7 linked regions of the Kluyveromyces lactis genome follow. The protein of the gene in region 3 purifies or fractionates together with the protein of the main gene of each other region. This does not show direct contact. Links are inferred from orthologs where the notes say so. Each region holds a gene or a part of one and is shown on either strand. Other genes may lie near its edges.

The links.
Region 1: the proteins of RVB1 (region 3) and VPS71 purify together in Saccharomyces cerevisiae (affinity purification with mass spectrometry; 6 studies listed by BioGRID, with this or other methods). This does not show direct contact. The link is inferred for Kluyveromyces lactis from reciprocal best matches to the Saccharomyces cerevisiae genes RVB1 and VPS71.
Region 2: the proteins of RVB1 (region 3) and ARP6 purify together in Saccharomyces cerevisiae (affinity purification with mass spectrometry; 4 studies listed by BioGRID, with this or other methods). This does not show direct contact. The link is inferred for Kluyveromyces lactis from reciprocal best matches to the Saccharomyces cerevisiae genes RVB1 and ARP6.
Region 4: the proteins of RVB1 (region 3) and ACT1 purify together in Saccharomyces cerevisiae (affinity purification with mass spectrometry; 7 studies listed by BioGRID, with this or other methods). This does not show direct contact. The link is inferred for Kluyveromyces lactis from reciprocal best matches to the Saccharomyces cerevisiae genes RVB1 and ACT1.
Region 5: the proteins of RVB1 (region 3) and IES1 purify together in Saccharomyces cerevisiae (affinity purification with mass spectrometry; 5 studies listed by BioGRID). This does not show direct contact. The link is inferred for Kluyveromyces lactis from reciprocal best matches to the Saccharomyces cerevisiae genes RVB1 and IES1.
Region 6: the proteins of RVB1 (region 3) and IES5 purify together in Saccharomyces cerevisiae (affinity purification with mass spectrometry; 5 studies listed by BioGRID). This does not show direct contact. The link is inferred for Kluyveromyces lactis from reciprocal best matches to the Saccharomyces cerevisiae genes RVB1 and IES5.
Region 7: the proteins of RVB1 (region 3) and TAH1 purify together in Saccharomyces cerevisiae (affinity purification with mass spectrometry; 7 studies listed by BioGRID, with this or other methods). This does not show direct contact. The link is inferred for Kluyveromyces lactis from reciprocal best matches to the Saccharomyces cerevisiae genes RVB1 and TAH1.

What each region holds. Positions count from the first base shown.
Region 1 is NC_006037.1:191,199-193,742, forward strand, and holds VPS71 (Vps71p), read left to right. Parts: upstream 1-1,294; coding exon 1,295-2,044; downstream 2,045-2,544. Other genes in the region: carnitine O-acetyltransferase CAT2, read left to right, coding at 1-967; STE14 (protein-S-isoprenylcysteine carboxyl O-methyltransferase), read left to right, coding at 2,425-2,544. UniProt on the Saccharomyces cerevisiae protein: Participates in the catalytic exchange of histone H2A for the H2A variant HZT1, an euchromatin-specific factor, leading to chromatin remodeling and changes in transcription of targeted genes. Indirectly involved in vacuolar protein sorting.
Region 2 is NC_006042.1:1,756,029-1,759,028, reverse strand, and holds ARP6 (Arp6p), read left to right. Parts: upstream 1-1,252; coding exon 1,253-2,500; downstream 2,501-3,000. Other genes in the region: condensin subunit SMC4, read right to left, coding at 1-918. UniProt on the Saccharomyces cerevisiae protein: Component of the SWR1 complex which mediates the ATP-dependent exchange of histone H2A for the H2A variant HZT1 leading to transcriptional regulation of selected genes by chromatin remodeling. Involved in chromosome stability.
Region 3 is NC_006040.1:1,560,264-1,563,564, forward strand, and holds RVB1 (RuvB family ATP-dependent DNA helicase pontin), read right to left. Parts: upstream 1,875-3,301; coding exon 501-1,874; downstream 1-500. Other genes in the region: SLY1 (syntaxin-binding protein), read left to right, coding at 1-400; NAD-dependent histone deacetylase HST4, read left to right, coding at 2,721-3,301.
Region 4 is NC_006040.1:460,447-464,133, reverse strand, and holds ACT1 (actin), read right to left. Parts: upstream 2,409-3,687; coding exon 2,399-2,408; intron 1,619-2,398; coding exon 501-1,618; downstream 1-500. Other genes in the region: SND2 (Snd2p), read left to right, coding at 3,163-3,687. UniProt on the Saccharomyces cerevisiae protein: Actins are highly conserved proteins that are involved in various types of cell motility and are ubiquitously expressed in all eukaryotic cells.
Region 5 is NC_006040.1:651,424-655,359, forward strand, and holds IES1 (Ies1p), read left to right. Parts: upstream 1-1,366; coding exon 1,367-3,436; downstream 3,437-3,936. Other genes in the region: KLLA0_D07568g (FAD-dependent oxidoreductase), read left to right, coding at 1-315; KLLA0_D07579g (uncharacterized protein), read left to right, coding at 495-788; KLLA0_D07612g (uncharacterized protein), read right to left, coding at 3,486-3,936. UniProt on the Saccharomyces cerevisiae protein: Probably involved in transcription regulation via its interaction with the INO80 complex, a chromatin-remodeling complex.
Region 6 is NC_006041.1:1,787,891-1,790,188, reverse strand, and holds IES5 (Ies5p), read right to left. Parts: upstream 855-2,298; coding exon 501-854; downstream 1-500. Other genes in the region: TORC2 complex subunit TSC11, read left to right, coding at 1-481; KLLA0_E20087g (uncharacterized protein), read left to right, coding at 1,119-1,493; MET6 (5-methyltetrahydropteroyltriglutamate-homocysteine S-methyltransferase), read left to right, coding at 1,877-2,298.
Region 7 is NC_006039.1:781,226-783,262, reverse strand, and holds TAH1 (Tah1p), read left to right. Parts: upstream 1-1,189; coding exon 1,190-1,537; downstream 1,538-2,037. Other genes in the region: YIH1 (Yih1p), read right to left, coding at 24-839; KLLA0_C08888g (1,3-beta-glucan synthase), read right to left, coding at 1,649-2,037.

The sequences.
Region 1 (2,544 bases), on a different chromosome or scaffold from region 3:
GCACGGAGACGGAACCAATAGATTCTTTGACAAGCCTTTGCAATTTTTTGTTACTGGTAACGGTTTCTCCGGTTTCTTGGCAGAACATTCGAAAATGGATGGTACTCCAACTTTGTTTTTAAACCATTACGTCGTGGATCAATTAACAAAATTGAATCCTTCAGCGTTCGTCGAGTCCTTACATTCCAACGTATCAGCTTACCCTTCTGTGAACAGTGAACATCTACCATTTATAATTACACCAACCTTGAGAAATACTATCGAGAGTGCAAAATTGCAATTTATAACAACAGTGGAACGTGAAGATTTACGCGTTTGGCACTATAATAGGTATGGTAAGAGAATTGTGAAAACATTTAAAGTGTCACCAGATGCTTACATTCAACAGGTGATTCAACTTGCTGTTTTCAAGTATTTGAAGAAACAACTACCAACGTACGAAGCTGCTTCTACCAGAGCGTTTTTCCAAGGTAGAACTGAAACTGGTAGACCGGTCACTGAATCCTCTTCCAAGTTCGTTAAAACATGGGAATCACCTACTTCTACTACTGAAGAGAAAATTGCTGCTTTCTACGATGCTGCCAAGGATCATGTTGAATATTTGAAGATGGCCTCTAACGGTGAAGCCGTTGATCGCCATTTCTTTGGGTTGAAAAACATGGTTCATGAATCTGATGAGCCAGTACCTTTGTTCCAAGACGCATTGTTCAAATACAGTTCTACTTGGTTGATTTCAACTTCACAATTATCCTCTGAAAACTTTGAATGTTACGGTTGGTCTCAAGTATACGATAATGGATTTGGCTTAGCCTATATGATCAATAACGAATTTTTGCACATTAATATCACCAACAAACCAGAAGCTTCTGGATTTAGTGTTGACGAACTACACTATTATTTAACTAAGGCGGCAGATGAAATGTATGAAACTTTGTCTCTACACAACTCTGCCAAGGCCAAACTATGATATAGCACAGGCACCAGTTTATATTGTTTTAGTACGAGTCCATTATATATGATATTCTAACCACTTTATGATCTATTATGAATTACTGAACAAGGATGCACTGGCAACAATTGGTACCATCATCAACCATACGTTAACGGCCTATCTTACCCAATGATTGACATCTTTTCTCTCCCTTCAGTTACTGTTGTTCGCATATCTACCATATTATATATCAAATGAGAATATGGCAAAGAAATTTAAAATCGACCTTATCATAGTGAGTATACCGAGGAAGACACTTTATCACTGGATAAAAGAAGGAAGAAGCGTGCGAAGAGTGTCAATATGAGGTCGGTAGAAGAAATCAATGTGAGGACGTATAATCCTAACATTTATTTCAGCAGTTTGAACCAAACTCATCAAAGTGCAAGGGTCTCGAAACAGTCTCAAACCTCAGCAAGAAACAAGAGAGTCAATTATTCATTGGCTGATTTGGAGGCAAAGATATATAATCAGCCCAAGGGAAGCGATAAAGACGACATAAATCAACTGACAGGATCTGATAAGCATGCCTTGCCTGATTTGTTACGATCTAATAAGCGGTTCATGGAACTTGACACAGAAAACTATCAAGATCTTCGTGAAGTTACAACTCTTCTCAGTAACATCACGGGGCTGAACAAAGATAAGATCGATCAAACAAGCACCGGTATATTATCTGAGCAACAATCAGGCTCAGGTTCATCCAGACAGAGGATGGCCAAGTTCGATTTGCCCAAGTCTATGAATTTATTGTATAAATCAAGCAAGCCGCCTCGGAAATCAAAGAAAAGTTCCAACAGAATATCAGCACTAAGGAAAGTACTTTCAAGCAGAAGGTCTTTACACTCCTATCTAGAAACTTTAGACCAAGTGAACCACACACTCATTTATAGTAACGTTCAAAACAAGAAGTTTTTCAGGGTCTTACCAATGATCGTCACCTGCTCTATGTGTGGTGGTTACTCCAGTATATCTAACTGCGTTGTTTGCAATGACAAGATATGCAGTCTTCGCTGTTATGAATTACACAGTGAAACAAGATGTAACAACTGAGTTTGCTGCTAGCTGAAAAAACTTAACAGCTACTCTCTTTGAACCTCAAAACACTGCTCATGATCCCGTGTTTGTTGCTTCATGTTGATGTCTTTGTAAATACTGATTATAGTATAAAATCGAGGCCATTATCTTTTTTTTTTCATTCTTTCACTTTAAACAATTTTAATACCGATGAAAGAGAAGACTTTAACTTAACTATTTGTTATCGAACAAGACACTATTTGAACTCCTTGCTGTTGGTATTTAGCAGTACGCATCATATTCCATTAATATATCAGACCTTGAAGAATCCTTCACGCTGGTTTTTGGTTTTTATTCTGAGCTATTCTAGTTGAAATCAGTGAAGGTATTGGCGTGGATTGAGAGGTGCGGAAGTTATGTCGAGCAGAGATGATGAAAGTGAGGATGTTCTTGTGATTATTGATGGGAAAACATTTCCTAATATACAAAAGAACGAATTGGACGAGATATCTTTAACGGCATTTATGCTAGGAGTG
Region 2 (3,000 bases), on a different chromosome or scaffold from region 3:
TTTGAATTTAGCTGTGCCAATTATATCTTCCAAATATTCCAAAAGTCCATCATCGTTGTCCTTTTCAGCCTTGGCCTTCATCTGGGCAATCGATTCCACTTCACCTTGAAGAATCAAGAATCTTTTATGGTCCAAATCAATTCCTTCCTCTTTTAAAAGTCTTGTTACTTCAGTATAATTACTCTCTTTCCCGTTAACATAGTACTTTGAAGAGTTGTTTTTGAATGCTCTTCTTTCAACCACCATTGTACCAGCCGATGGAAGAATCTTGGTTTCACCATTATCTGTATCATGAACGTAATGAAAATGAATTTGGACAGAACAGGATGCCAGACTCGGGAACTGCTCAGATTTGTGAATTAACTCGGAGAGTTTCCCTTGCCTCATTTTATTGGCTCTAAAACCGAAGACAAAAAGCATTGAATCGATAACATTAGATTTTCCTGATCCATTAGGACCAACAACTGCAGAAAATGATGTGTGGAATGGTCCAATCTCTTGAATACCAGCATACGACTTGAAATTATTCAAAACCAATTTATCAATGCATAATCGCTGTGAGGTCTGAGTATTGGCCTCGTGCATCTTTTGTAATTCAAGTCGTGTACTTTTTTTGGGTGAAAGTCTGATCAATTCAAGCTTTCTTGTCGGAGATCTAGTAGGTGATCGCGTAGGAGACCTAGGCGGAGACTGACTGTATTCGCGCCCTCGTACAGCATGTGCCGTAGGAGGTTGCAGACTCGGTGGATCCATTGTATTAGAAGCGGCAGTAGTAGCCTGTGAATTAGAGACGGCATATTTTTTTTCAGGTGAGCCCAAAACCAACTTCCTTGGCGTCCTTGTTGGCGATTGTGATACTCTTTGCCTCTTTATTTCTGGTGAGTCTCCCAGATGCGGCACAGAACTGTCTGCAGTCATATCAATCAAGCTATAGTGCAGCTACAGGAGGCAACCAGAATAATAGCTTTACAGGTCGAGGTGCTCGTTGGCTGTGGTGGTTTGCCATCGCCATCGCCATCATGATAGAATATTAAAAGTTCTTTGGTTTACATCATGATTGTTTGGTAAACAAACAATCTTTTCAAAACATGAAATTTGAAAAATAACAAAAAGGAAATGAAGAAAAATTGTAGCACTACTACAGAAAAACACAGGCAATCTGCATGCGCGCTTCTTTGAATGTCCTGATGATTTGCCAAATTGGCTATATGGGATAATTTAATGGGAATAATATAATCATACATCTATTAAAATGAGTGAGCCTGTATTGGTGATCGATAACGGATCGTATGAAATCAAATTTGGTGAGAGTGGATGGGATCAGCCACTGCGAGCGTTAAACTGCTTAACCAAGGACAAATACTCTCGCTTCCACCTTTCAAATCAAACGAAGAAAATGCGGGATATATCGCAGGCTTTAATAAGAAGGCCTCACGAATTGGGTCAACTTGTATCATGGGAATTAGAAAGTGAAGTATGGGATTACTGTTTTTACAACGAGGACGACTTCCATTGGAACTTGACACACGACAATGACACTAAAGATCATCATTTAGTAGTAAGTGAGACGCTCATGACGATACCAGAGCTTTCGAAAAACATGGACCAGGTAATATTCGAAGAATATGATTTCAAATCTATGTTCAAAGGACCTGTAGCACAATATATTCCTTTTTACCAGGGTCAATATCAAGATGACGCAATGACCGCTGCTGAAGACAAGAAAACTAGTTCATACAAGGACTTCCAATTAGTTATAGACTCGGGGTTTAACTGCACATGGGCTGTTCCTATAATAAAGGGAGTACCGTATTACAAAGCTATCAAGAAACTCGACATCGGTGGCAGATTTTTAACAGGCCTATTACAGGAAACCATTTCGTTTAGGCATTACAATGTGATGGAAGAGACAATACTTGTAAATAACATCAAGGAGCAATGTACTTTTGTTCCCCCTGAATCATATTTTTCAAGTTTCCACAACAAAATGAACACAAAGGTCGAGTATGTACTACCGGACTTCCAAACGAGTTTCTTGGGGTACGTTAAGAAACCAGGTAAAGAAAAGCTCACGGATGATGCACAGACCTTATTACTCACAGATGAAGTCTTCTCGGTACCAGAAACGTTCTTTCATCCTGAAATTGCACAGATTTTAAAACCAGGAATCGTCGAAACAATTCTAGAATGCATCAACATGTGTCCCGAAGTCGTCAGACCATTACTTGTTGCCAATATAGTATGCACCGGAGGCAATTTTAACATTCCAAACTTCCACGAGCGATTACAAACAGAATTACAAAGACAATGTCCGATAGACTGGAGCTGCAAAGTACATTCACCCCAGGAAAAGGACAAATCTCTACACGGATGGGAAAGCATGAAAGACTTTGCCAACTCGGATCAGTTCCGCTCAGCAAGGGTCACAAGAGAAGAATATCTAGAACACGGGCTCGATTGGTGCACCAAGAACAGATTTGGCTACCAACAGTGGTTGTAACCATGTGATCGCAACCACGGCTTTCGTGTATATAGAGTATATATGCATAGGTTCAATTTCACAAACGCTCACGTGATATCAAATGAAACTGCTACTGCTACGGTATTATTTTTTAGTAGCGGAAATTCAAATCCGGGTAAAAAAACTATGATCCCCTCCTGCCTCTATGAAGTACCCCTATATTTCACATACGGAGAAACCACACATACTCATATACACAAAAACAAGACAACTTGATGGAGCAAAGCTCAGGAGGGTAGAGTATCTGCAATGCGCTCATTACAGGTCGCTTCTCGAGTGTTCTTTAGTACTCTCTCACATGCAACGCGCTTTGCACAATTGTTCCGAACTTCCGTAATCCTCTGAATTCCCATGATTGCTCTATTTGGCTTCGGAAAGAAATAAGGAAGAAAGCCAAGAAAAAGAAAAAAGATAAAGCTTGTTTAGAAAGAGCTGTGAAAGGAAAGCTTATTACGTATTTTTTGATATATTAAGGTAAA
Region 3 (3,301 bases):
CAAGTTATATGGATTAACTGAGGGGAAAATACAAGGTGTTAGTTCTCTTCTTTCTGGAATCAAACAACTTCTTCCCGAGAAGAAAACGATTCCCATTACCAATATCGTCGAAGCCATCATGGATCCATTGAACAGCTCAAAAAAGAACCTTCACATTACAAGTGAATATCTTTACTTTGATCCTAGAAGCACAAGGGGTTCGCACGAGAAGCTACCAAAGAGTCAGACATATAATAAATCCTTGGTGTTTGTTGTAGGTGGCGGTAATTACTTTGAATACCAAAATCTTCAAGAATGGGTTCACCAACATGAAAATAGCAACAAGAAGGTCATTTATGGTAGCACTGATATAATCTCCCCTAACGGATTCTTGAAAGAGATCTCAGGATTTAAAAAGTGAGGTTATAATATAGATTTATGATTTTATTTGTTGTCAGTATATATTTATAATAAACTTATACTTTGATGAAGTAAGATGCCATGTTAACACGAAATTAAAGTTACAAGTAATTTTCAGATTGTTCCAAGATCTTCGTAGACCTTTTAGCATCTAAAAATAATAGCTTTGCTTCTTCAACATCTGCCACCGATATTTCGGCGCGGTTTGCAATCTTAGCAATGATACCTGATGGTGATAGAAGCTGTAGAACATAACGCAAAGAAGTTTCTGTGCCTAAAGTCGCCAAAAATTCCAATGCTTCGTCCTCCACCTGCAAGTTCTCTACAGCAGCTCTCTTTGATATGATTGTTTTGATCTCTTCTCTGTTATAAGGTAGAGTTCGAACAATTAGGAGTCTATCTATCAAATCTGGTGGAACACCGTGAGGAGAAACAACGTCGTCAGTGCCGCGTACGGTGATCATTCCTCTGTTTGAGGCCAAAACAACCACAGGTGCAATATCAGATTCTAATGCTCTGTTTAAGTAAGTAAATATTTCGATGTCAAGCATATTCACTTCATCAATGAAAAGAACACCCGGGACAAGTTCTGCTACACCTTGGTCAATGTACTTTGCGACAACCTTATTAACCTCGTGTCTAAGCTTTTCTGTTATCTCTGTCTTCTTTGGTTTCATGAGCTGTCCCATCATCGAAATGACATCTTGTCCACCTTGAGGTCTGGCATTAGCGACATCTAGATCATGTAAAGTGACATCCTGAACTATTTCCTTCTTCTTATGCACTTCTCCCTTTGGAAGGGGAACGTACTCTTCCGCTTCCAAATCGAATTCAGTTGCGAAGGCATCTGATCTACCAACTCTTTTCACCGCACCTGTATTTGATTCGATATAAATAACGTCACCAACAGAAACCTTTTCTCTTTGAATGCTTTCGTATATAGTTGGATCAAGCCTCAATGTCTTAGTACCCTTGGCAGACTTCAATCCGACGATAACATGCGAGATTGTCTTACCATAACCACCCAACGGATTTTCCGCTTCCTCTGGAGTTAATTCGGTAACTTCACCTTCGTAAACTTCCTTTGTTTCTTTAATTCTTAATCCAATGGCTCTTCTGAAGTTTTCCATCAAAGCTTCTGTCTTTTTCACTTCAACGGAATACAATTCAGAGCCCACTAAGGGACAAAATGGAACTTTAGGACCAAGTTCCTGCGATATTGCCAAAGCCAAAGCTGTCTTACCAGTGGATGGCCCACCAGCCAATAAGATAGCTTTACCAGACATTTTCTTGGCTTTGATCAAATCGACGATGACACCACACGCTTCCCGAGCTTCTGCTTGCCCCACAAAACCACCTTCCACTTGCTTTGCTACACCAAACTCATCTAAACCTAACCCTTTAATGTGTGTGTGAGCTGCAGTACGGGTATACGCAGTGCTTGATTGTTCCTGCACTTCACTGATTTGTACCATGTTAACGTTATACTATCGCAAGAAGGAAAATATAGATGGTAATAATAGATATCTTCTCCTAGTTTTCTTTCGACTGCAGGACTATTAAAAAATTGAAAGGCTGATCCGTTACTACTACTCAATCGAAAGCTAGCTAAAGAAGACCGGTCAATACTTGAAAATCATCAAAGAAACCCAGATTTGAAGAGATGTCGACTGCTGTTTTTTCTTCTAAATTGCCCAGTAAACAAGAAAAGCATACATATCATCACATACGGAATTGATAGTTGTCCACGTGATTAGATATCATGCCTTTTTTTTTTATTTAGTTTCTACGCTGCATTGACAGTTGAGCAGGACCAATGCAATCGAGGTAAGAAATCCACCAATGTCGTGCTCACAGTATCTTACAGCTAAAGGTTCAAAAAATGTTTGTATAGCTTGTCAGGGCAAACAGCTTGATATCCTTATCAAATGAAACTATGGTGTCCGAATAAGAAAAGGACGGCTAAAAGCTTTGCTTCTTCAACTTTTTTTCTTTTCATCGATTATTTCGGTTTTTCATGCAGAACCAGCAAGCGGGATCAATTACATTTCCTATTTCGGAATATATCCATCTCGATTTAAAGAAAAGCTCAGTTTCACTAACTAATACCCTCTTGTGGCTATCACAAATGTAATTCCATTCCGTACTCGTACATATAGTACATATATATATATATTTATACATATATGACCTGACTGAGTGTGATTTACTGGTATCGTATCTTTGTGGTTCTGAGTACGTTATTACTGTAAGTCATTGAAAGGGTAGAATAAATCTGACAAAGTTTTAAGGTAAGGATTTCCACTGCATAAGCATTAATAATGGAGTCTCCAGTTAGGAAAGAGTACCATCAACTACTGACTCCTCCATCGTCATCGGTAAAGAAACATGATTTGAAAGCGGGTGATCTCAAAGAACTGTCTATCAAGCCAAGAAAGCTTATAAATGATTTAAGTAGAGTTAAAAAGTCACCATCTCGGAAGAAGAAACTATGCGATTCGCCTACTACTCGCAGTTTGCCGCAGACAACAAGAAAACCAAGACTGAAATATAGACCAGAACTGGATACTGTTTTTCCTTTGGATAATTATGTTGAGGGATCTGCCAAGAGCTCATCAAAAGATGCTGAATTTTTAACATACGTGTTAAGTTATTCGAAACGAATCGTGGTGGTCCAAGGAGCTGGGGTATCAGTAGCAGCAGGAATTCCAGACTTCAGATCAGCGAATGGGCTATTCACAACTTTAAAATCAAGTTCACCAAATGTCAAGTCTGGGAAGGATTTATTTGATTTTAACCATGTTTACTCGTCAAACTCCATGTCGATATCTTTCAACAGCCTAATGAGTAAATTGCATTCTTTATCATGTACTAGCAAACCTACTGCATATCACAGTTTTAT
Region 4 (3,687 bases), about 1.1 Mb from region 3:
TAACTTTCAACACTAAAAATCTTTGTTCTGGAACATATGATGATTTTAAATCCTTTTCAAATTATCAGATGATCAACTTAAGCAATTAGCCTCGCACGAATATTCAATAATTGCCGTATATAACTTTCAATTGGAGTTGTTTAATTTTAATGTTGAATTTGAATTTCGTTCGTATATAATCTCGGCTTATTAACTTATTAACTTTCATACTAAACTACCCACTTCATTTATATGAAGTAGAATATTCCAACAACATAAGATAGAAGATTGGAACTTGAATAATGACTGTGCGATCGAAGATAAATAAAAACAACACACAAAACAAAATTATAAAAACAAAGAAGATTTGGAGTAAAATCGTCCCTATATGAAGTTTTAATAATTGTTAGTTTTTTGTTTCATAAGCTTCAATTTTTGGGTTCATCTATATGAATCGATTCATCGTTTATTTTAATTGTATTCTTTTTATAAGAGTGTCAAGTAAAAAAAAGTGAAGGAGATTAGAAACACTTCAAGTGAACGATGGATGGACCAGATTCGTCGTATTCTTGCTTTGAGATCCACATTTGTTGGAAAGTGGTCAAAGAGGCCAAAATAGAACCACCGATCCAGACAGAGTACTTTCTTTCTGGAGGAGCGATGATCTTGACCTTCATAGAAGAAGGAGCCAAGGCGGTAATTTCCTTTTGCATTCTTTCAGCAATACCTGGGAACATGGTGGTACCACCGGACATGACGATGTTACCGTACAATTCCTTTCTGACATCAACATCACACTTCATGATGGAGTTGTAAGTAGTTTGGTCGATACCAGCAGCTTCCAAACTTAGAACAGATGGATGGAACAAAGCTTCTGGAGCTCTGAATCTTTCGTTACCGATAGTGATAACTTGGCCATCTGGTAATTCGTAAGACTTTTCAACAGCGGATGATTGAGAAGCAGTTTGCATTTCTTGTTCGAAGTCCAAAGCGACGTAACATAGCTTTTCCTTGATGTCACGGACGATTTCTCTTTCAGCGGTAGTAGAGAAAGAGTAACCACGTTCAGCCAAGATCTTCATCAAGTAGTCGGTGATATCTCTACCAGCCAAGTCGATTCTCAAGATAGCGTGAGGCAAGGAGAAACCGGCGTAGATTGGAACAACGTGGGTAACACCGTCACCAGAATCCAACACAATACCAGTGGTTCTACCAGAAGAGTACAAGGACAAAACAGCTTGGATAGAGACGTAGAAGGCTGGAACGTTGAAAGTTTCGAACAAGATTTGAGTCATCTTTTCTCTGTTGTTCTTTGGGTTCATTGGAGCTTCGGTTAACAAAACTGGGTGTTCTTCTGGAGCAACTCTCAATTCGTTGTAGAAGGTGTGATGCCAGATCTTTTCCATATCATCCCAGTTGGTAACGATACCGTGTTCAATTGGGTAACGTAGAGTCAAGATACCTCTCTTGGATTGAGCTTCGTCACCAACGTAAGAGTCTTTTTGACCCATACCGACCATGATACCTTGGTGTCTTGGTCTACCGACGATGGATGGGAAGACGGCTCTTGGAGCGTCGTCACCGGCGAAACCGGCTTTACACATACCAGAACCGTTGTCAATAACTAAAGCAGCGACCTCTGTTTAGAATAAAAAACCATCACGAGTAGCAGAATGCAGATTAAGGAACTAAACCGTACGTTTGGGTAGGTTAGGTGTTCCAAAAAAGTGAATTCAGCCATCCCAAATAGAAAAATAATTGTTAGTAACATAAGATAAGAAAACAAAAGTAACAGGTGCATTTTGGGTGATCATGAGGTTATGTGATTGTTCAACGCTAAAAGTCCTGTCGCGGACAAAATAGGGGCTAACCTTAGCAACCAGAAAAATAAATCAAAAAAAAAATAGGGACAACCGAACCACGAGGGGCAATGCCTGCACCACTTAAAGGTGTACTTTGATTCCTTCTTGGACTGGAAGGAATAACATTGTAATATAAAATCACATCATCACGTGACATCAAATTATCTTTTTTTGCCTATATTTTCCAAATTTCTTTCCAATTCGCCTCCTAAATCAGGTAAAAAAAACCCAAAATCCAAAGTTAGTCACCCAAAACCCAAGAAAAACACGTTATAGTAAGAAGGTAGAACCAGGAAATGAAAGATCCAATTCTCGAACAAAGCTTCTAATCCAAACCCCTATATATAAAAAAAACCCATTCAATTAGCGTTGTACATCTAATTCTAAATCTGATTTAGGGAGTTAGAGAATGGACAATGGCAGCGCAAAGCGCTGCCATTATCCTATCTTTTCCCTCCCAACATTTAACCGGAAACCTAACAAAGTAATAAAACATATCCAAACTTTTTAACCACCCAATTAACCCACCGTAATCAAATATACGTTTCCACACATACCAGAATCCATATTGTTATACTATAGCGCGTGAAGATGTTGTACAATTCCTTTTGCAATCAACAAAAAAACCGTTATTCTGAAACAACCTTTCTTCTCTTTGGATCGTAAAAGACAGTAAAGAAGGAGGAAACAAATCAAGATATTTCTTATTTTTCTTGTAAATTAAATCAAATTTCAAACTCTCTCATACAATAAATCGCACTAGCTGTCCAGAGAAACAGAAGAGAAAATTTCGAAAAAACAAATTAAAAAAAAAAAAAGAATTCTGATGAAAAATAGGAGACGATTGTCATTGTCCACGAGGCGGAGCAGTTGCGGTAATGGTTTTCTAGTGGTTACGTGGGATTCACTGTACAGCTGGAGGGGCGGACTTGCAATTGAAGGCTTTGTGAAGGCTGGAAGTTTGATATAACGTTGGTAGGCTGTCGGTAGAATAGTTATATCGTAGTATATTGTATTCATGAGGCAGTTATCGATCTCTGGATGTTAGTACATCTGGTTTATTTTACAATTCATTATGACCGCATATCGTCTTAATCCTCCGTATATTAATGTGTATATTCAAAATCACGTGACATATATGTACGTTACCCGGATTATAATGACTCGGCAGTTGAAATCTATACGTGAATATATGTTACGTGGATCATCATCAACTATCATTGAAGCAACGGGAAGGTATTAATAGATCAGGTTAATATTCGACAGTACATTTATGTACATCTATCTCTATCTCTGAAGAATCTCACCCACCCATTGTAGAATGGCTGGAAAATCGTCCAAGAAGATTGCTGCAAAGAACGCAGCCATCTTAAAGCAGTTGCACGTACTAGTCGTCGCTATACTATCTTTAACGTTATTGAGGAAATGGTTCAGTAATGGGCTGATTTCAACCCTAAAACCTATTCTTTTCAATGTGCCGATGTTGTTATGTTTATATATTCTCGAACGTACCGGTAGACCAAAATATGAAGTCAGTAACGCTGCGCATGGAAAATATAAACTAGTTAATGAAGGGTTCGATTTGGAATCTGGTGGACTCACTGAATACATGAAAGATATCGTGTATGTTTCCTTGTTCTGTAACCTGGGAACAGTTTTCTTCAACACGATGAAATGGTGGTTCTTGGTATTAGTGTGCCCTGCGTTTATTTTCTACAAGTTGTACTACTTGAAGCAACAGTATTTCCCCGGTGCCTCAGCTTCAAAGGCGGATCTCGCAGAGACAACGCCCGCTGAACCTTCCAAATCAAAGAGACAATTGAAGAGGGAAAAACGTGGTGATAAA
Region 5 (3,936 bases), about 910 kb from region 3:
GGTGGTACCAAACAACCTGGTGATTATAGTGTAATGCCTCGTGATACAGATACTGAGAAGCTCATTGGAAGAGGTAAGAAACTTTTCCCTGAATTGCTTGAAAACTTCGAAATCAAGAACGTCAACGTTGGTTTCAGACCGCTAAGAGTAGGAGGTTCGCGTGTAGAACTCGAGTTCAATAAGAGTCCTGATGGAGAACAAATGCCAGTTATTCATGCTTATGGTCTTGGTGGGATGGGATTCGAGACCTCGATGGGTGTTGCCTACCACATTCAAAAATTGTACAACAACGTCTTCTCCACTTCAAAATTATGATGTGCGCTTGCATCGAAATTAAAGACTACCTACTGGACATTTCACATTAAAGTAAATAATTCTGTAAATAAAGACCACGCAGCATTTTAAGTTAACTTTATTTGAAAGTATCAATAACGATTACACTTCATTCGAATGAAGGGATTGTACAACGGAGGTTGTTACTAAGTAAAAAAAGTATGCATCTCAGTAACGAAGTGAGTGGTGCCGTCAGGACGTTTACGTATTTTATGGTAAGTGGAACTCATTATATGTTGAAGGGTGTAGATTACATTTCGTTATATGGTGAGGAACCCAGTGCAATTGAGCAAGCTTACGCCATATTCATGAATGTGTTGGAAATAGATGAACAAGGGAAAGTTATCAACGTCAAACATGCCGAGAAACGAGCAACAGACTACATTAGGTCTTACTGTGAATCGACCTTCGAGGTTGATCCACCTTTCGAAGATTGGGAAGTTCAGTTATATTGAAAAATGTACCTCCATTAGCAACTATTTTAGACCGGCGTTGGTTTTCTGGGAGCAATTGGCTGCTTATACACCAGAATAGTGTATGTTTAGAGGCTGCTACATAGTCAAAAGATAGTATTAGTATTCATACATGATATCAACCTTTATTCACACTGGATATAGGCAACCAATTATAAATCCGGGTAACTTGTAGTTTACGTTGACTATCAAAGAGAATCAACCAAAAGGTAATAACGTCCAGTAAACTTAAACAGTAAAACAGAAGTTTTCTGATATAAAGAAGGTGGAAAAGCCAGACTTAAAACATTAGAGAACGTATAAATTTGAAGAAATTCATTATTGGTTCCATATATAGTACCCCTAATTGGAGATCTAATTGGGTATCTGCGTTCTCTGTTTTTCTAATTAGGAGACAGACAACTTTTTATTGAATAACAGAGCGGAAAGCAATTGTTACTATCTTTTATGAACTGCTAGTACCAAATTACAAACTTATAACACCTAGAAATTTTCCAATTCAATTTAAGATTACCTTTTCTTACATTTGCATTATTGATCAGCTCTAAAAGATTTCAACAATGGCAAAGCGGGTGTATGATCCCATTCACGATACTTATCAGATACAAGTTACTCCAGAGCCGCCTGTGCTTTCACAGCCGCGACCAGATGGTAACGAAGAGGAAGACAGAGACTCGGATTCTACTCAGTCAGAACCTTCTCAATCAGCTGCAATTTCCATGCCAGATTCTTCTAATGACGAAAATAAATATTATGAGAAGGAATCAACGGTGTCCGCAGATTCTCCTAATTCAGCATTGCCATCTGATTCACAGCATTCCGTAATACCTCCTCCGCCACCAATGGAGCTGGTTCAATACCCAGGGAATGAGAGGAAATCCAAACATTCTCATGCTATGAACTTTATGACAACTACCCTGAGACCAAAACCTAAGGCAAAAGAACCAAGCCGATACACTCGCCATTTAAAGAAATCTGACGGTGAACCTTTCACTCGTAAGGACATTCAATATGAGTTCCTTTCGAACCTTCTATCTGACACAAGACAAATATTTAGTAATCCGTTCCAAGATTTCTTTCCCTTGGAATACACACCAGAGGAAGGTAAAGTGGTGAACGTCACGGATGTGGACTATAATGCAAGAACTTTCATCAAAACCGAAAAATTAACTTTTTCTCAGATATACATTTTAACTATCGCTTCTTCAAGTAAATGTTCCAAAGTATTACGGGATAAACTACTTTTTGATCATCATGTAGCGTTTTCTACGTGCATATTATCATTGTTGGTGAATATGGGAAGATTGAATACGACTGTAAATTTCTTTCTCGAAATGACTTCCCAGCTGCGTACCTTCCATTCAATTCCATGTCTACAGCACTATAGTTCAGATCCTAAATCATTACAAGATACTCCAAGGATTAAGTCGATCCTCAAAACTATCCCACTTGGGTCCGACACTCCAATAGAGTTTCATAAATGGTACGCAGCAGATTACCCCCGTAATCCTAGCGAATGGGTAAATCCAGTATCTTTGATATTTGCTTTTTGCGAACAACATGCCATACTAGATTGGAATATTATAATTCCTAATTGTAAGCCCAAGACCTCTCTTTACCAATTATTTGATGATAATAATTATTCTCCACAGCTACGAGTCAATCTTTTCTTGTGGTTGATGTATATCCATATGGAGACGAACCTCACACCGGAATCGTTACAGTCTTCGAAACCTCTCTTCCAAGTCGAACCAAACGGAACGTTCTTATTGACTGCGTCTCATTTAGAACATGATATTGACACTCCAGTAGAGGTAACATACGGAGAAGAGCAATTGGAAAAGAGAATAAGCTTTTTGAATCAAACAGGAGCAGAGAGGACGATTGTCCAACAGACGATGGAAACTCCTCCTACAGGCCCCGATGATGAACCGTTGGATCCAGAAGCAGCACTAGAAGAACCGGTACCGGCTCCTCCACCACCAAAGCCCAAGCAGTCACGAGCTACATCAAAGGAAAAAGGAGGGAAGTCACAACCGGTGATAATCCAACAAGATACACAGCGAAAGAAGAGACAGTCGAATGCAGCAGGTTCTAAAAATAATTCGGAAGAAAACAACAATAACTCTGAAAGTAAAGCTGCAATAAGGGCTAAGATTCAACAAGATAAAGATGAGCGAGTACAGCAAAAAATTGATCTTGATAAAAATTTTAAAATTAGAGATGATTTGACTCAGACTCAATTGAGAACTAAATTGATTGAAGCCCATAAAATCACCAACAAGAAAAACCATGAGTTAGGCTTAGTTAAGTTATTTGACGAATTCGAAGATGTTCCTCTTGCAACTATTATTGGTATCCGGGGGAAAAAGAGAAAGAAGTTCAGTGACGGCATTTTAGGATATGAGACAGACATGTTAGGAGTGCTACGCCATTCAAAAAGAACAATGCTCAAAAGGCTAAGAGAGAAACGCGGAGTGCCCAACCCTGAAGAAGAAAACAGCTCTGCTGTCCAAGAAGCAACGACTGAACCAAAAGTAATGGCTGAATCCACTGCAGAAACTCTGGCGGCAGATCCAACTGAAAAAGTGGAAAACGAAAGGAACGGAACTGCCTTCCATGACAGCTGAATAGTTCCAACTTCTGCGAACGATAGTAACACTAATAATGACATTGTAATTAAATAATTGTAGATCCATATTTAATGACTCCTAATTGAATTCCATACTGGTATATAAGGAAATCCAAAATTTTCTGTACTTTGTTGGTCAGTATCAACGTTTCTGGGTATGGCGATGGTAAATTCCAGTAACAGTGAAAAGAAACCTCTAAATCATTAAGAGTTATGGTATTGTTAGATGCCCTAATGAATTTACTTGCCTCGACGATCTTTGATATCATTTGCTCGTGAAGTTCCTTTATCCTAAGAAATTGTACGACAGCCATCATAGCAACATTCACGTTCTGAGTATCTTCGGCATATTGAATTATAGGCTGTAACTCAACTTCAAACGCATTCAAGTCAATAGCCATGGAACGAATACTCTCGTTTTCTACTGCTATTCTGAAAGAGGCGGTGAAACTACCTTTACGTAGCAGGATCATATCCTTTTCACATGTGACTGTAACA
Region 6 (2,298 bases), on a different chromosome or scaffold from region 3:
ACACAATCAGAACGCGGCGTCTATATGTAACAATGAACTGAATTCGAACATTATAGTTGGGGACCATGAGATCCCTTTAGACAACTTATTGGAATGGGAAAGATCCGAGACGTCTGTGAATCCCGACCAGCAGGAAGAGGACAAACAAGAATTGGAACGAGCGATCCGAGAGATATCCCAAACAAATGAGTCGAAACTGCCAGATGTGTTTGAAGATGACAAGATCAACAATAGGATCCTAAGGATAGTAAGCGATATGGGCAACAATATCCTTCTGAATGGTGCGATCAAAGAGATAACTGCTCTCCAGTCCAAGTATGGGCCTAGTAGATTCCAAAGCCCAGAAATGTTTGAACAAGTTTATGAATTATTGGGAGAGTACCGATTCAAACCCTCAGTTCGAAAATTTTTGTTGGAACTGTTCATCAACACACGAGCCGTTGAGAACATGATACGGAACGAGAGGAGAAGAAAAAGATAATTCAGGACAAGCCAAACTTTCATTCAGAACCATCCTTATATAGTAATGGAGTCATCTTAAATAATTCATAAGATTCTTGTAAAGCTTCTGGGATCTCGATTTCATCCAAGGGCAACGAGTTCACTTCTTCTAAACTCTTCAAAAGTGGTACCAGAGCATCCCAATCTTTAAACTTCTGATAATCTGGCTGTTGGAAGATGGGGTATCCATTTAAATTGATGTGAATAGGCTCACCTAATGATTCTAATACCTGGCAGACACTTGTAATCTTGCGAAGCAAGATACTGTAATCTTTCCTAAGAGAAACGTCTTGTTTCAGCAATTCTTCTCTTCTATTAAGAAGCTTCTTGTGCTCTACTTCCAAAGTCGGCATATTGGATGTTTGGTGGTAATAGCACTGAAACTGGAGAAAATCGTCTCACCTCGTAAATAGTTGTTCGAAGTTAAGAAGAAGAGTGATAATTGCTGGCTTAAATTTCTGCTGAAAGAGAGTTCCAATCGAGAGAGACAGTCTACTACTTCTGTAGGTCACGTGAAAATACATGTGACTTGGAAATGCTGTTCAGTTTGGAGCTCTTTCAATCAATCCGGGTAAGTATCACGAAGTCATCGTCACCATGTGAAAGAAAGGAGGAGGATGGTGTGGAAAAAAAAGGATCAAAATTGCTTTGGAAAAGTGCATAAAAACGCCACAACAAGCACAACCACCGCCCCAACCACACCCTTACAGACCAAATTGAGCCACATTGCAGTCCGAACCATTCCCCGTGACCGGTTAGCCATGACTACGGCACAGCACGTGACAGTTACCATTTGCCCAACCTACGTCGGTCTTATACCACACTATTTACGTCAAAACACCGTGCAGGAAACCATGTGGAAACCATTAGGCAAACCACATGTGAAATGCTGTGCGATTCGTGGGAAGTGTTATTTTGACGACATGTGCTTTTCTATGGTATCTGAGAGAGCCCCATCTCTGCAGAAAGAATCCTTTGGTGAATTGTGGTGAAAAGTTTTGTTCTGTTACGTTCCGATGAGCTCAAGTCAAAAGTAAGTAGTAGTAGCAGCAGTAGTAATAGTGGCAGTTTTGTAGTTGAGCAGATTTTTTCGTGGGAACGACTAGAGCAGCCGAAGGTAATTAAGACTCATCGTTTAAACGATGTTTGTTGGATCAGAAACTTCAGTCCAAAGAGGATCTGAAAAAAAATGTATATAAGCAGTCGACTCTTGATGTAATTTGAGGAGTGACAATTGTTCATCATTACAATAATAAAAGGAATTATGTGTACTTTGTTTAAATACAGATTTATTTCCTTTATCATTCAGTTTGAGTTTAATATCTTAAGCCAAACAAACCAATCACTAATCATACATTAGTTTGTCAATAACAAAATGGTTCAATCATACGTCTTAGGGTTCCCAAGAATTGGGCCAAACAGAGAATTGAAGAAGGCTACCGAAGGGTACTGGAACGGTAAGGTCTCTGCTGAACAATTACAACAAGTTGCTAAGGACATCAAGGCCTCTAACTGGAAGTTGCAAAAGGATGCTGGTGTCAATGTCATTGCTTCCAACGATTTCTCTTTCTACGATCAAGTCTTGGATCTTTCTCTATTGTTCAACGTTATCCCACAACGTTACTCTAAGTATGAATTGTCTCCATTGGACACTTACTTTGCTATGGCTAGAGGTTTGCAAAGAAAGGCTACCGAAACCACTGCTGCTGTTGATGTGCCAGCTTTGGAAATGGTTAAATGGTTTGACTCCAACTACCATTATGTCAGACCAACCTTCTCTAACTCTACTGAATTCAA
Region 7 (2,037 bases), on a different chromosome or scaffold from region 3:
ATACTCCATTCTATAAATGTGAACTATTTTGACCTCTTCTTACTTGAAGTAGAGGTAGCAGCTTCTGTGAAATGCCCCTTCAATATTACTTCTCTAGTTGTTGAATTTATATGCTTGAATCTATCTGGACCAATATGAACTCCTCCGAACCATCTTCCAACGGCAACAATTACATTCCATGCATCCATCACTGTGATCAAATGTAGCATTCGTCCTCCTGCAGCTGTTTCTCCATCGTCATCGCAGTCTTGGAAACTGACACCGTTCTCTCCCTTGATTCTCCATGCAACCATTAAATGATTAGCACGAGCAATTTTATTATCGGTTCTTAACAGCTCAAGCTTATCGAATGCCTCTTCTTCAGAATTGGCTTTAGTAGCAAACGCAATAAACGTGCTCTTTCTGTCAGTGATGGGATCACTTACGTACCATCCTTCGAAGGGATCAATCTTTAAATTCTCAAATTTATCAGATATATCAACCTCATCTGAACCAGAAGCCTCTTCCCCCTCCTCAGTATAAAGCACACCATCGAGCTCCGTCAAGAAATCGAATATACAAACAAGTCCAGGGTTAAATACAGATTCCAACACTTCAGTGAAAAGATGGTTTAAATATTTGACATCATATAGTGCTGATATTTTAGCAGATAAACTCACTTCTAGTAGATGTGGCGGTTCTGTTTCAGGGTAGTGCTCGGGAAACGATAGATGTAATGTGAAATCCTCGTGTTGAGGAACTTTAATTTTTATTCTGTCATTATTAACCACCGTTAGAAGATCTGGGTAGATAGCATTTATCGCATCGATTTCGTCATTTACATCATCATTGAGTACCATTATAGATATATTGGAAGTGTTGAATTGTATTCCAAGCCAATGTCAATCCCAAACAAATGAGCAAAATATTTTAAATGCTAAAGTTGCATATACAACCGATATTTTCCAAAGCGTTAATCATCTCAGCTCATCTCAATACAAATCGTCATGTTTATGACTGTGATCATCTTACATAAATTTGAAAACTGATGCTTAAGTGCATGATACAAAATATTAAAGAATCTTCGAAAGAGACAAACTTAGTTCAAAATTTCGGAGATAGGATTAGAAAAGTAGTTTGGCTTCAGTCAGAGGATTAGTAGTCAACTACTTTTAAAGGATACTTCCTATTGTATAACTATATTCCAACAATGCCAAGCTTTGAAGAGTTCAAGATCAAAGGAAACACTGCATACAAACAGAATAACTTCACTGATGCTGTGAATTTTTACAAGAAAGCGATCACTTATGATCCGACAAATCCAGTAGGCTATTCGAACTGTGCTATGGCGTTGATAAAACTGAACAATTACGCAGATGCCTCTCAAATGTGTCAAAGAGGGTTGTTTTACGTTAATGAACAAACCGACAACGATAACAAAGTTCGCAAAAAACTTCAGTGGAGGTTAAATGTCTGTTCAGAGCAGCTCAAAGATGACCTGATTTCGGTGCAAATTCATGAAGTAGATAAACTACCGAGTAAATATCAAGATCTTTGAGATTCTGTTGCTGAGCAATGCAGGGTGTGTATTCATGGAAGAAATGCATCTATATACACTAATCATGTGACTTACAAAATGAAATTACCAGTAGAATATCTTTGAGTAGTATTAAGTGTTAGAAACTCTCGGTTTATTGAACATTGCTCTCATCATATTGTGATATGCCTTGAGCCCTATCTCCGAACGCAATGCTATACTCATTTCTGGTTGTATGAGAATTCTGGTTGTTTCTCTCAAGTTGTCGGAATCGATAACCACAAGTTGGTTCAAGATCAGAGGCAAAGAAAAAACAACTGTGATTATTGCTAAGATAATGATAAACACCAACGCATATATGTTCGCATTGAATTTGCTTTTACCCTTCTTCTTAAAAATAATAGGTCTGGCGTCAATGTCCGCCTTTCTCCAAAATAGCATTAAGGAATGCAAAGTATCCACATTTGGAATCATCAAAATTGGTACCTGTAGGAGTAAGATGATATGCACGAGAACGAAGT